3 linked regions of the Astyanax mexicanus genome follow. The protein of the gene in region 3 purifies or fractionates together with the protein of the main gene of each other region. This does not show direct contact. Links are inferred from orthologs where the notes say so. Each region holds a gene or a part of one and is shown on either strand. Other genes may lie near its edges.

Region 1 (4,033 bases), on a different chromosome or scaffold from region 3:
CAGGAATTTAACATTCCACCATCCACAGTGTCACATGTGTAGCGGGAATACACCATAGAAGACTCACAAACTTGTGTTCCATGACTTTTGGCATACTAGAGGGTTAATTCCTGGCTTTAATCATTATGCCAAAAGGTTCATGTTTGCCATTTGTCTCTACAGGGGCTCGATAAAGTGTGTGGTGTGTATGTGCAACTTCATTATCATCATTCTTTTTTTAAGTTTGTTTACATTGAGCGGGGACCCTCATGGAAGAAAATGAAAGCTAAAAAACACAACAACTAATTTAAATTTGTCAAATTTGTTGATCTACATCAGCGATACAGCACCATCCTAAAATAATCGGCAAGTCTTTTTTTTTTTTTTTTGCAAAATTGACTTTTTGTCTAAATCATCTCCTCATAATGTAGTCCACCTATGGTAAAATCTCCTACACCCTCAGTTGATTCAACCCCTTTAGGATAATGGCCTATGTCAAAAGTGTGATTATTATTTATTATGCCTAAATCAAATTAAAATGTGATGTTTAATAGCAATTTTAATAGCTTTCCAGGATGGAGCTACCTTTACTGAACTAATTTCCACGATTCAGGGCTCGTCCCCATTTGATAAGTTATAAGATCTACATTATAATACATAGTTTACTTTTTATTAGTAAAGGCTACAGGCTATAAATATAATAAATATTGCATAGTTGTTTAGTCTTATTATTAAGTTTTATTATATTTCTGCATTTTAGTATCAAAATAGCTGACTTTAAAATCTATAAAGCTAGCTAGAATGCTTGACAATATTAGAAATTCGACATTTTTTAAATGTTAAAATGTTTTTTTTGCGTTTCCTGAATAACTTATTGATTGTTAAATAATTGTATAAGGAAGGTGTCCTAAGGTGCACTCAATTTAAAAAGGTTACTATTTTACTATTATAAAAAGTGAAATAAAATATCCATCAGAATAAATAATAATAAAAATATTATATAGATAAAAATAAATAACTAAAATAGAAATCAATAATTTATTAACTTTACAATAATTTATATATAGAGAAACGTTTTTCTTCATATTGTATTTATGTATTTTATATAATTAAATAATACATTTAACTCACAATTTCTCCTTTTAATTAAACTCAAATAGAGCACAAAAACAATCGTCAGCTATATCCAATGATCGCACTGATTTAAAATATCCCTCAGCCAATCAGAATTCAGAGGGGAATGACCTGTTGCCCAATGCAGGACAAACGCCTTTATGAGACTCTCAGCCAATAGGGGACGAGATCTGCCCGCCACCGTCCAATCAGAGAGCGGCAGTGTGTGCGTCTCTCTGCAGCCGCAGTCGAGGAGCTGGAGAAACACAGCAGGACGGCGAGAGGAAAGGTAAAAGCTGTTTAAACTTTAAAAACCGTATTATTTGTTTATTATTTAATGCGTTTAAAGTGATTTGAGCTGAGTTTAGATCTTTAACAGCGTAGTTTATGATCGCTGATTGAAATCTCGCGTGTTTTTGTGGAGGAGCTCGAGCCCGTAACTTTGTGGTGCAGAGCTGGGAAACACATTAAAACTAATTATCATAAGAACGATGCAGTTCAGAGATTATAATAGAAAAACTGGATTAATGTGTTTGTGGAGGAGAGAATATAGCTTTAGGATGGGAATTATTTGCTTAAAATAATTGTTTATGTGGTTCGTGTCCAATTCTTTTAGTTTTCTCTTGCTTTGTGTTTGTGTGTGTGTTTGTGTGTGTGTGTGTGTGTGTGTGTGTGTGTGTGTGTGTGTGTGTGTGTGTGTGTGTAAAGTAAATCAGATTTGTGTTCTGAATAGGGGTATTGGTTTGGTGAAGTTTCCTCACAGTAAGGCTAGTCAGTGGTTTTGTCTCCACTAGCCGTATAACTATGCAGTATATGTTATTTGTACATATTTAACTATTATTTATTTATTTATTTATTTAATTAATAGTTTTATTATTTAACCTTTAATTTAACCAGGCCAGTCATTAAGAATGTATTCTTATTTGCAATAATAGTGTCTAGTGTCTAAATGTTTATGGACACATTATTTCTAATGAATGCATGTTAGCACCTATTGCTGACACATATGTGCAAATTCACTCACACATACAGTATCTCACAAAAGTGAGTACACCTCCCACATTTTTGGTAACTATTTTTATTATATCTTTTAATGGAACACAGCTAAAGATGACACTTTGATACAATGTAAAGTAGTCAGTGTACTGAGTACTAGGGGTGGGCAATATTATATCGTGACACAGAAATATCATGACATTAAAAATCCATATCGTGATAATAGGGCTGTTCTGTCTTAAAAGTAGTCTATTATTTACTGTGAAGCTTTAGGTTTATTTATTGTATAATTGTTTTAGTTTGCAGTTTATATGCATGCACTAAATATTCTGCAGTATTTTTTGCTGCATTATATTATTTTATGCTATATTATTTACGTTGCCACATTATGATTATACTGTTATACTATTATACTATATTCCTAAAATAAATGAATTATTTTAGTTTTCCTATATCGCCAAGTATATCGCTATCGCAAAAACACTTTGAAATATTGTGATATTATCTTAGAGCCATATCGCCCACCCCTATTGTACAATAGAGTAAATTTTCAGTGCCCTCAAAATACCTCACCACACTGTCTAAATTAATGTCTACCACATTAATGTCTAAACAGCTGGAACCAATAGTGGGTACACCCCTAAATGAAAATGAACCGAAGTGAATATTGTGCACAAAATGTGAATATTTTGTGTGGCCACTGTTATTTTCCAGCACTGCCTTAACACTCTTTGTCATGGAGTTCACTAGAGCTTCACATGTTGCCACTGAAATCCTTTTCCACTTTAAAATCCATTAAAAATCACAAAGATTGTGGACTTAAAGACATTGTGCTCCTCTGCCTTCCATATGAGGATGCCCCACAGATGCTCAATAGGGTTTAGGTCTGGAGACATGAGATACTGTAGCTTGTTTGGGCCATGTAAAGAAGAAGTAGGCCTGTCATCATATTTATTTTATCGATTTATGATTTATCAAACAAACATACATGTACATGACCCCAAAAAATGTGAACGTATAAATGAATTTTACCAACATTTTAAACCAATCTTGCAATAACGGATACATCAGAAAAGATGTATTAGAAACAGAACACCATGCCTAATGCCAGGTAGGCCTGCCACAATAATTATATTATCGATATATTGTGCAGTATATGAACATAACCTCAAACTATTTTTACATGTTTATTTATGTTGGGTATTTAACCATTTATTTGTATACATATTATAGAATATTCTCTTTACAATTAATAAACAATCATTTCTGAGACCATAATCCTATCTCTGGATAGGATGAGCTGGGTTGTTGGGAATGGGGTGCAGTGGAGGTCATTAAGCATCCTGACCTCATGTATGCTTACCTCATTGCTCAAGGCAATCAAATCCTCACAACTATGATGCCTCAAATCTAGAATTAAGCCTTCCCTCGACAATTACTCCAACAAAAGCAGGATAAACTCAACTCTATTTAATACTCTTTTTAAGAATATTGGGAGCAGATGGGTCATTACGTTTATCCATTTAATGTACATTTTCTATAGAGATCCCAACTGATCAGATACTGATGGTTCTGTTTCCTTTTATTCTCTGCACACATGCAGACCATCACCCTGGTGTTTACATCTCAGTTTAAACACACAAAATATTCCACTATACAGTGCTGATTTGAAAGTATAAAGAACTGTAGTGCAGTAAACTCAGAGCGATGTGGTGGATTATGTTCTATTCTCGACGCAGCTCTAATGATTTCCATCACAGCATATTTGTGGTGAGCGTTTGGCACTCTGCTGCCTACCCCAAACTCAGCTCCTCAAACCCATCAGCTCCAACACAACACACTGTACAGACTGCAGAACCGGGACTGAGCTCAGTATACAGACCTGTGGGACTTCATACGCTGATGTGGCTCAGGCTTTAGGCTGAGGTGTGTTAATGGAATCATC
Region 2 (4,033 bases), on a different chromosome or scaffold from region 3:
AGTTATGAACAGAAAAGGACAGTGTAAACAGGACGGGGCGGCCTGCTCTTCTTGGGGTGTTTTGTATTGCATTTGAATTGCGGAGAGACAGCTGAGCCCACACTCAAACAGGCCTGTGGGACAATAGGACTTCCAAGGACAAATATAGTAAAATATGTTTTACAAAACAATAAAAGAAACAAATAGGTTAGTATAGTCTGCAAATGTACTATTTCACAAACAGACAGTTTCTCACTAAACAAATAGCACTGTGCTTAAAAAAAAAAACTCTTCAGTGAACAATGGAACAATACGGTGTGTTCCTTCATACTGATATCAGTGAAAAAGAAATGAGCAGTCTGATTACAGTGCATTTAGTTTACAGCAGAGTTAGTAATATACTGTACATAAATTAGACTATGTACATAGTTACTTAGATATCAAATTTTACTTTTTACTGGATGAGAATATGCTGTAAAATATGACACGACATGAAGGCGTAAAATAAAACTTTATAAATGTGAATACAATGCTAATATATACATATGTAAGTGATTACAATATTTAAGCCAAAGGATACATTTATTGGGAATAGTATGCAATTGAAATGAGGCTGCATTATGCTGTAGGGCAACATTTAGCCTAAATACAAGTTGAGATACGAGATCGTAGTATTTTGAGGGAAATAATGTAGTTCTAACTGCTTGGGCTGCAGTTTATGAAAGAGAGCATGGAGGGAGGAAAAGGAGAATTTTCCACTCATGATCTGTTAAAGGGCTGCTGTGATTGCCATCAGTTATCTACATTTCTAACCTGCTGATTATTAATGCTCTAGTGTTACAAATAGATAATATAGTGTTCCCGCTATCGGGAAACGTTACTTAGCGGGACTTCCCCCTACATTTTATCTTAGTTTTTGTGACCAAAAAAACACACAGTAAATACCAGTTGTGAATATAGGAAATAAGGGATGACTGTTTGTATGTTACATTTAAGGTGGAACGGAAATCTGAATAAGACAAATACAAGCGCTATTTGTTTTTGGTATTATATTCAAAAACGTTTTTTTTTCTATTAAAAAAATCAAATGAACAAATGATACACAGATTAAAAACTTACTGTGAGAGAGAGAGAGAGAGAGAGAGAGTATAGGGAAAAAAGAGAATTAGGGAAAAGAGAAAGAGATAGAAAAAGAGAGAGAGTATGGTGGAAAAAAGAGAGAGAATTAGGAAAAAAGAAAGAGAATTAGGGAAAAGAGAAAGAGAGAGAGTGGGAAAAAGAGAGAGCGATTTAGGGAAAAGAGAAACAGAGAGAGTTATTGTGGGAAAAAAAGAGAGAGAGAATTAGGGAAAGGGAAAGGGAGAGAGGGAGAGAGTGTGTGTGGATGAGTAAGAGGGAGAGAGTGGGAGAGTGAGGGAGAGAGAGAGAGGGAGAGAGTGGGAGAGTGAGGGAGAGAGAGAGAGGGAGAGAGTGGGTGAGGGAGGGAGAGAGAGAGAGAGAGCCGGATCTATCCGTCGCCATTACCGACTGGAATGAGAGGGGAGGGAGTCGGGCTCGGATTACACACACAGCTTCACCAGATCCTGTAAAAATCGGTTAAAACACAGTTTTTAACGGCACTATCGCGGATTGTTCTCTTCGCCTGAACACTCGGAGTATCCGGAGATCTTTTCCCGGGCGGCTCTGAGGGGAGAGAGCGGGAATATCGGGAATGCCTCCTCCTCTGTGTGGAGCCTGTGGGAGCTGGGAGCGACCATGTTAGGTAGGGGAATGCGTTTGGAGGAGTGTCGTGACTTTTCCCACTGTGTTTCTCTCTGATTTGGGCCGTTCGAGTTCGGAGGAGTACCGAAACCGCGGGATTTCTGTGTTTCTGGCTGATTTTACCTCAGATTCTCTTTATTAGCCTGCAAGCTAACTAGCCTAGCTAATATACTCAGCGCAGGGACACTTAGCCAGGCGGCTAGCGCTAGGTTAGCTATGTTAGGTTAGCTGGACGGCTAGCGTTGGGTTAGCTAGGGAGCTAACACACACACACACACACACACACACACACACACACACACACACACACACACACACACAGAGGAAGCGTTGTCCAGGCTAAAGGCCTGTATCTAGGATGTAAGTTAGTTAGCTCCATATTCCAGTATCCAGCTTTAACAAACAACTAATTAGCTAGCTACCAAGCTAAAAACAAATTTTAAAATATAATATTTATTTTTTAAATATCCATCTCCGTCCTTAACGAAATATAAGTGTCCTAAACGAGTGAGTTAAAGCCCATCTATCTGGTCGGAGGTGTGGTGTTTCACAAAGTACAGCTCTGGAAAAAAAATGAGAGACCACTTAAATTTTTTTTTACCAAATTAAAAACCTCTGGAATATAATCAAGAGGAAGATGGATGATCACAAACCATCAAACCACCAAACTGAACTGCTTGAATTTTTGCACCAGGAGTAAAGCAGCATAAAGTTATCCAAAAGCAGTGTGTAAGACTGGTGGAGGAGTAACGTTACATGATGCCAAGATGCATGAAAAAAGCTGTGATTAAAAACCAGGGTTATTCCACCAAATATTGATTTATAAACTCTTAAAACTTTATGAATATGAACTTGTTTTCTTTGCCTTATTTGAGGTCTGATAGTGTAATAAAACTCAATTGGTAGCTAGTTAGATAGCTTGTCATTCTAATATGACTCGTTAGAATGACTTTATAGATCTGTAGAACTAATTATATTACTTGTAAACACATTTCATAACCAACATCTTGTGGGTGGTTGGTGTAGCGCAGAGAATAATACCACCGCCTGATTGTGAGCTACCACATAATGTGGGAGATTGAGGTTCAGTTCCTTGGGCAAGACTCCTAATACCACATTGATGCGCATTAGAGGGCAAGTGATACAAAAAAGGTTTTATTTCAAAAAGTAAGAAAGGAAAAAATAAAATATAGATATATAATGATCAAGAAATACCTTAAATTCTGAATTGTGAATTAATTTATTGGCTAAATTATGTTATAGAAACACTCAGCCATACATAAAGTTACATAGAAAATGTAGCCATAGACCCAAAGATTTACAAGCACTACAAAAATGGATCAATACAGCTAAGTAGAGAGTTGTATTTAGTTAGCTAATGCTAGCTAATTAGCAGAGGTTTCAGTTTTGACTATTGAGTATTGCAACACGCTCCATCCTAAATGATTAACTAAGCTAACTTACAGGTCCTCCTGGTTTTTATGACAATAACTATAATAGTGTAGTCATCGAGGAAACATCTCACAGAGTCTCCTGTAGTGGTTTTATGACTGTTATCAAATAGGTGTGTTTCTCTGCCTCTCCTGTGATATTGCTCCCATTAATCCAGTGCTCTTCACTGGAGGTCACTGTGCTGCACCATTTAATGTTGCCTCTGCAGCCCAACACACCCTGAAACACTAAACCGTGGCTTGGCTTTATTCAGGACTGAGTCTAAAAACCCTCAGAACAGCATGTTTTGTCTAAAATCCAGGCATCGTTTTTTAAACCTAGGGATACAAGCTAACTGATTCAAAGCATATGTACATCAGCCAATACAGCAGAGTATTGCCTTTTCTTTAGCTGAATGTGGTCACCTTTTCTGCCCACTCTGGTGCCTCTTTACTGAATAATAATCATGCTTTCTTTGCTTCAATTGTGTTCAGAAGACACTGCACTGATGATGCCATTGTCTCACATTTTTCACATTATGTAATTTTTTCAGTAAACTTTTGCATGAATTACTTTTTTTTAAATCTACAATTCTATCTGATCCTATTCTGCCTCTATCCAGTAAATAAATCTGTCACCTGTAATTGCTTATATCTTGAACTAGGGGTGTGCCATATCATAGTGTACACAATGATTTTTAAAAACGCAAACGTTTAAAATTTTTTTGAACAATATTATACCCCAATGTTTTGCGCCATATCTTTGTTTAGAACCCTGACTACAATCAACAGTCAGACGCCCATTGCTATCTTGGCAACAACATTAGTGCGCCACACACATGAGGCAGTGCACAAACCCAACT
Region 3 (4,033 bases):
GACACACTTACCTTCACTCCCCCTCTTCTGTGGATTTACATAAGTGTCTGGGCATCACCCTCTTCAAGGACCTGAAGGGGGATGGAACATGGTCTCCAGAGCGCAGCTTTGTGAGACAGCCTGAGCAAATTCCACTTGCCACAGACCCTAAGGACCCATCCCTACATAGCCATCATCATATTTATTTTCACATCATGTTCATTCATTCATTAAATCCTCTTTACTAGAATGAGACACATTCCAGTGCATTATCAGTATAGCAGAGAGGATGGCTGGGTGTATTCTGCCAAAACTTCAGTATTAAGATATCAGCAAGGTCAAGAAGTGCACTTGCAAGATTATATCTGTCCCCTCTTGTCCTGGTGACCCCCTCCTTCAAACACTTCCCTCTTGTAGAAGATTAAGAGCTATCAAAGCTAGCACAAATGCCGCTAACATGTCATCAACTGTAGAAAAAGACCTGGCAACTCTCTCTTTTTCATGCACAGTTTACAGCTTAAGTTAATGTATTATTTTCTTCTGAATATTTGTTAATAGCATGTGTATCTGTTCGTTCTGGACTGGGTTTTCCTACAGTGTAAGTAAGTAAGTAAGAACACAGATTATTCCTAACTCTCTCTCTCTCTCTCTCTCTCTAAGATTAACCTAATCCTGAGGTTCTGTTTAGACGACAGTATGGCACACATCATCATTCCATGCATGTGATTTCAAGAATATAATAATAATAATTTTATTATTCTAAAAATTTTAAATGGCCATTTATGTACATAAATGTAAAATTATAAATATTACTTTTTTCTTCTTTTTGTTTTGCTATTGATTATGGTCTATTTATCTTTAAGTAAACAAAACTAATCTTTAAAAAATTATCAATAATTAAAAAAAAGTTAAAAGTTATTTTATTGTATCAATAAATATTGTATGGTTTATGTGTTATACTGTGTTCTTATTATGTCTGTTTATTCATTGACAGACAAAAGTTACAACCAAAATATGTTACAAATACAGCACACGTTTTCAAAAAACTATATATATATATACATATACATTTTAATAATAACACATTTTAAATGTGTAATATTTAAATATATATAACTGAACAGACATAAAAGTGAAAATCATAGTTGTCAATTTCATTTCATGGATAAAATATTTTTTTTCCAATTTAAATGAATAGATAAAACAAGTAGCAAGTATCCTTACTGCAGTCATTATAATAAAATAAAATACAAAATGGACAATAAAATTATATATTTTATAGTGTTTAGTTTTGACCCATATCCTAAATGGGATCATTTCTAAAAATATTTGAATGGACACAGTTAAAGAATACTATATGATGTTTAACACATATATACAAAACCTTATTTTAATGAATGTAAACAACTGTTAGCTTTCGAGCCCTGAGGACTTTAATATACGACACATTTTAAAGCAGCACATCTCCCATGATCCTTTGCCGCTATCGCCTGGATTTCAAATCGCGAGAGCCAATCACAGGCGGGTCCGTGGCCACAGCCAATCAGAGGCGGTGCTCCGGCGAGAGCCAATCAGAGGCGGCGATAACGAATAAGGGCCGAATTTAAAAATGTTGTGTTGGTGCTGCGCTGAGAGACGCTGAGCGGGGACGGGGGTTGTAGAGAGAAGAAGCGGACAGGCGGACAATTTAGCGAGTTTCTGTTTAAAATACCCCGCTTACATTAACAGAAACTGGTGTACCCGAGTGGATTTGTGCTGGCTTGTGTGTTAAACCGGTTCAGGCGCGCTTAGTTCGGTTAGTTTTTATTCGAATTGCTCGGCCGGGCGGCTCGCCCTGTCTGTCCGGGTCTGAACTCGCTGTTTTCTGTTAGCAGTGTCGCAGAGATCCGTGTTTTGTTCGTGTTTCTCTTTAAATTAGCGTTATTTTGAGAGCGTATTCAGTATGAGCGCTGCAGTGGCGAAGGCGCCGAAGCCTTCGGTCAACGTAGACCCGAAGTCTGCGCCCCTGAAAGAGATCCCAGACATCCTGGTGGATCCGCGGACCATGAAGCGCTACATGCGGGGCCGGTTCCTCGGGAAAGGCGGCTTCGCTAAGTGCTACGAGATCACAGACATGGAGACGAAGGAGGTGTTCGCCGGTAAAGTGGTGCCCAAGTCTCTGCTGATGAAGCCGCACCAGAAGGAGAAGATGAGCACGGAGATCGCGATCCACAAGAGCCTCGACAACCCGCACGTCGTGGGCTTTCACGGCTTCTTCGAGGACGACGACTTCGTGTTCGTGGTGCTGGAGATCTGCAGGAGGAGGGTGAGTTATCCTCGCTTAGTTTAGCTGAGTGGGAGTAAAATATAAAGTGATTTTTTAAAGCTTTAGAAACACGTAATAACTGAGGCTAGCTTCACTAGCAAACTGGCTAATCTATCAAACCTAGCTTAAGTTAGCTGTCTCTCAGTCCTCACCAACGGTCGAATTCCTCAGTGAGGGTTAGTTAGCATTAGCCGGTTAGCTAACTGTTTGTTAGCTCTGAGAGGTGTGAAACCTCACTACTGTAAAGTTTAAATGTCATGAATATTATAACAGTGAGAAATTGGTGTCTGTAAGTGGGGTTAAAGTGTTTGTGGGTGTTTTTAAGAACCGTTTTGACCGGCTGTATCCGAGCCTCCTTTCCGAGATGTGGATTTTAAATGTGAGGATGTGACGTCAGAACCTCGACCGAGATGTTTGAAAATTTTCGTGAACTTTTTTTTCGCCCGTCAAAATCGTTAAATATAGTAAATAATGCTCAAGTTTCCACTTGAGAAGTATTTATAATACAGCATATTATAAATGCTATATGAAATACTTTTGTCTTGTTGGTGTTTCCTGCTGGTGTTTTCTCCTTTTTATTAGCTAACTTATCTGTTCTTCCTATTTATTATGTTTTTAACTAACCTAGATATATTGAGTTATATATATTTGCTGTTGTGGTGGAGTCGAAGTTGAACTTTAAGTCGCATTGTAATTTAGTAAAATGTAAAAAAAAATCACCATCTTTGTGCAGGGATTGTATGGTCATGAAAAACCTGGAAAAAACTTAAATATCAGTTTCCAGACCTAAATTAGTTTTGGAATACTAAAGAGAATTTTGAAAGTCATGGTCTACAAATCTGTTTCCATTTATGTATGGAGTATCTATTTCGAGCTAAGAAATGCCTCAGCTCAAAGTTTTTTTAAGTAATTTAGCCCTACACAGTAGAGCTTTTTGATTTTTTTTTTTGTTATTATAGTTTTGTAATTGTATTTTCTTTAGATGCATGTAAAAATACATTTAGGCTGTGTAACTCATGCAGTGGTAGGGTATTTTTTAAATAAAGTGTTTAGTTTTTACAGTAATGCATTTATGAACGTTTCCAGTTTTGCTGTAGATGCAGCAACTGGCTGGGGCACAGCCTTGACCTATTAGACACTTTTGACATGTTTAATTTCTTTTTTCTTTTAGAAACATGGAGAGAAATGACATTAGGTTATTTTATTTTTGCAGTTTGAAGGTGTAAAACATAGTTTTGTCAATTTCCATATCCCCTAAAGCTGCAAGTTTGTAACACGACAAGTTTTATTGTCAGGATTATATTTATCTTTAAGTAAGCAAAAACGTTAACACTATCAACAAGCTTTTTGTAATAGCCCTACAGCAGTGTCCCTATGCTGCTTCTTTGCTGATAATTATTTTATTATTTTAATATTTTTTTCCCCTTCCATTGTTCTTCTGTTAGTCTCTTCTGGAGCTGCACAAGCGCAGGAAGGCAGTGACTGAGCCTGAAGCAAGGTACTTCATGCGGCAGACAATCCAGGGAGTTCACTACTTGCACAACAACAGAGTTATTCATCGTGATCTTAAACTTGGAAATCTTTTTCTTAGCGATGATATGGAGGTGAAGATTGGTAAGCAGGCAAATTTGCTCACAACTTTTTGCCTAAAGTACAGTTCGACTTTACTCGTTACTTTATCCTATAACGCTTTGTTCTCTCCCAAGGTGATTTTGGTCTGGCCACTAAGATTGAATTTGATGGTGAGCG

The links. The genes of interacting proteins can lie anywhere in the genome.
Region 1: the proteins of plk1 (region 3) and farp2 purify together in Homo sapiens (affinity purification with mass spectrometry; 3 studies listed by BioGRID and IntAct, with this or other methods). This does not show direct contact. The link is inferred for Astyanax mexicanus from reciprocal best matches to the Homo sapiens genes PLK1 and FARP2.
Region 2: the proteins of plk1 (region 3) and arhgap5 purify together in Homo sapiens (affinity purification with mass spectrometry; 3 studies listed by BioGRID and IntAct, counting the BioPlex papers as one, with this or other methods). This does not show direct contact. The link is inferred for Astyanax mexicanus from reciprocal best matches to the Homo sapiens genes PLK1 and ARHGAP5.

The regions. Positions count from the first base shown.
Region 1 is NC_064412.1:49,190,120-49,194,152, reverse strand, and holds the start of farp2 (FERM, ARHGEF and pleckstrin domain-containing protein 2), read left to right. Parts: upstream 1-1,291; 5' UTR 1,292-1,381; intron 1,382-4,033. UniProt on the Homo sapiens protein: Functions as a guanine nucleotide exchange factor that activates RAC1. May have relatively low activity. Plays a role in the response to class 3 semaphorins and remodeling of the actin cytoskeleton.
Region 2 is NC_064421.1:48,490,233-48,494,265, reverse strand, and holds the start of arhgap5 (rho GTPase-activating protein 5), read left to right. Parts: upstream 1-1,479; 5' UTR 1,480-1,741; intron 1,742-4,033. UniProt on the Homo sapiens protein: GTPase-activating protein for Rho family members.
Region 3 is NC_064428.1:16,135,513-16,139,545, reverse strand, and holds the start of plk1 (serine/threonine-protein kinase PLK1), read left to right. Parts: upstream 1-1,591; 5' UTR 1,592-1,921; coding exon 1,922-2,284; intron 2,285-3,729; coding exon 3,730-3,898; intron 3,899-3,990; coding exon 3,991-4,033. UniProt on the Homo sapiens protein: Serine/threonine-protein kinase that performs several important functions throughout M phase of the cell cycle, including the regulation of centrosome maturation and spindle assembly, the removal of cohesins from chromosome arms, the inactivation of anaphase-promoting complex/cyclosome (APC/C) inhibitors, and the regulation of mitotic exit and cytokinesis.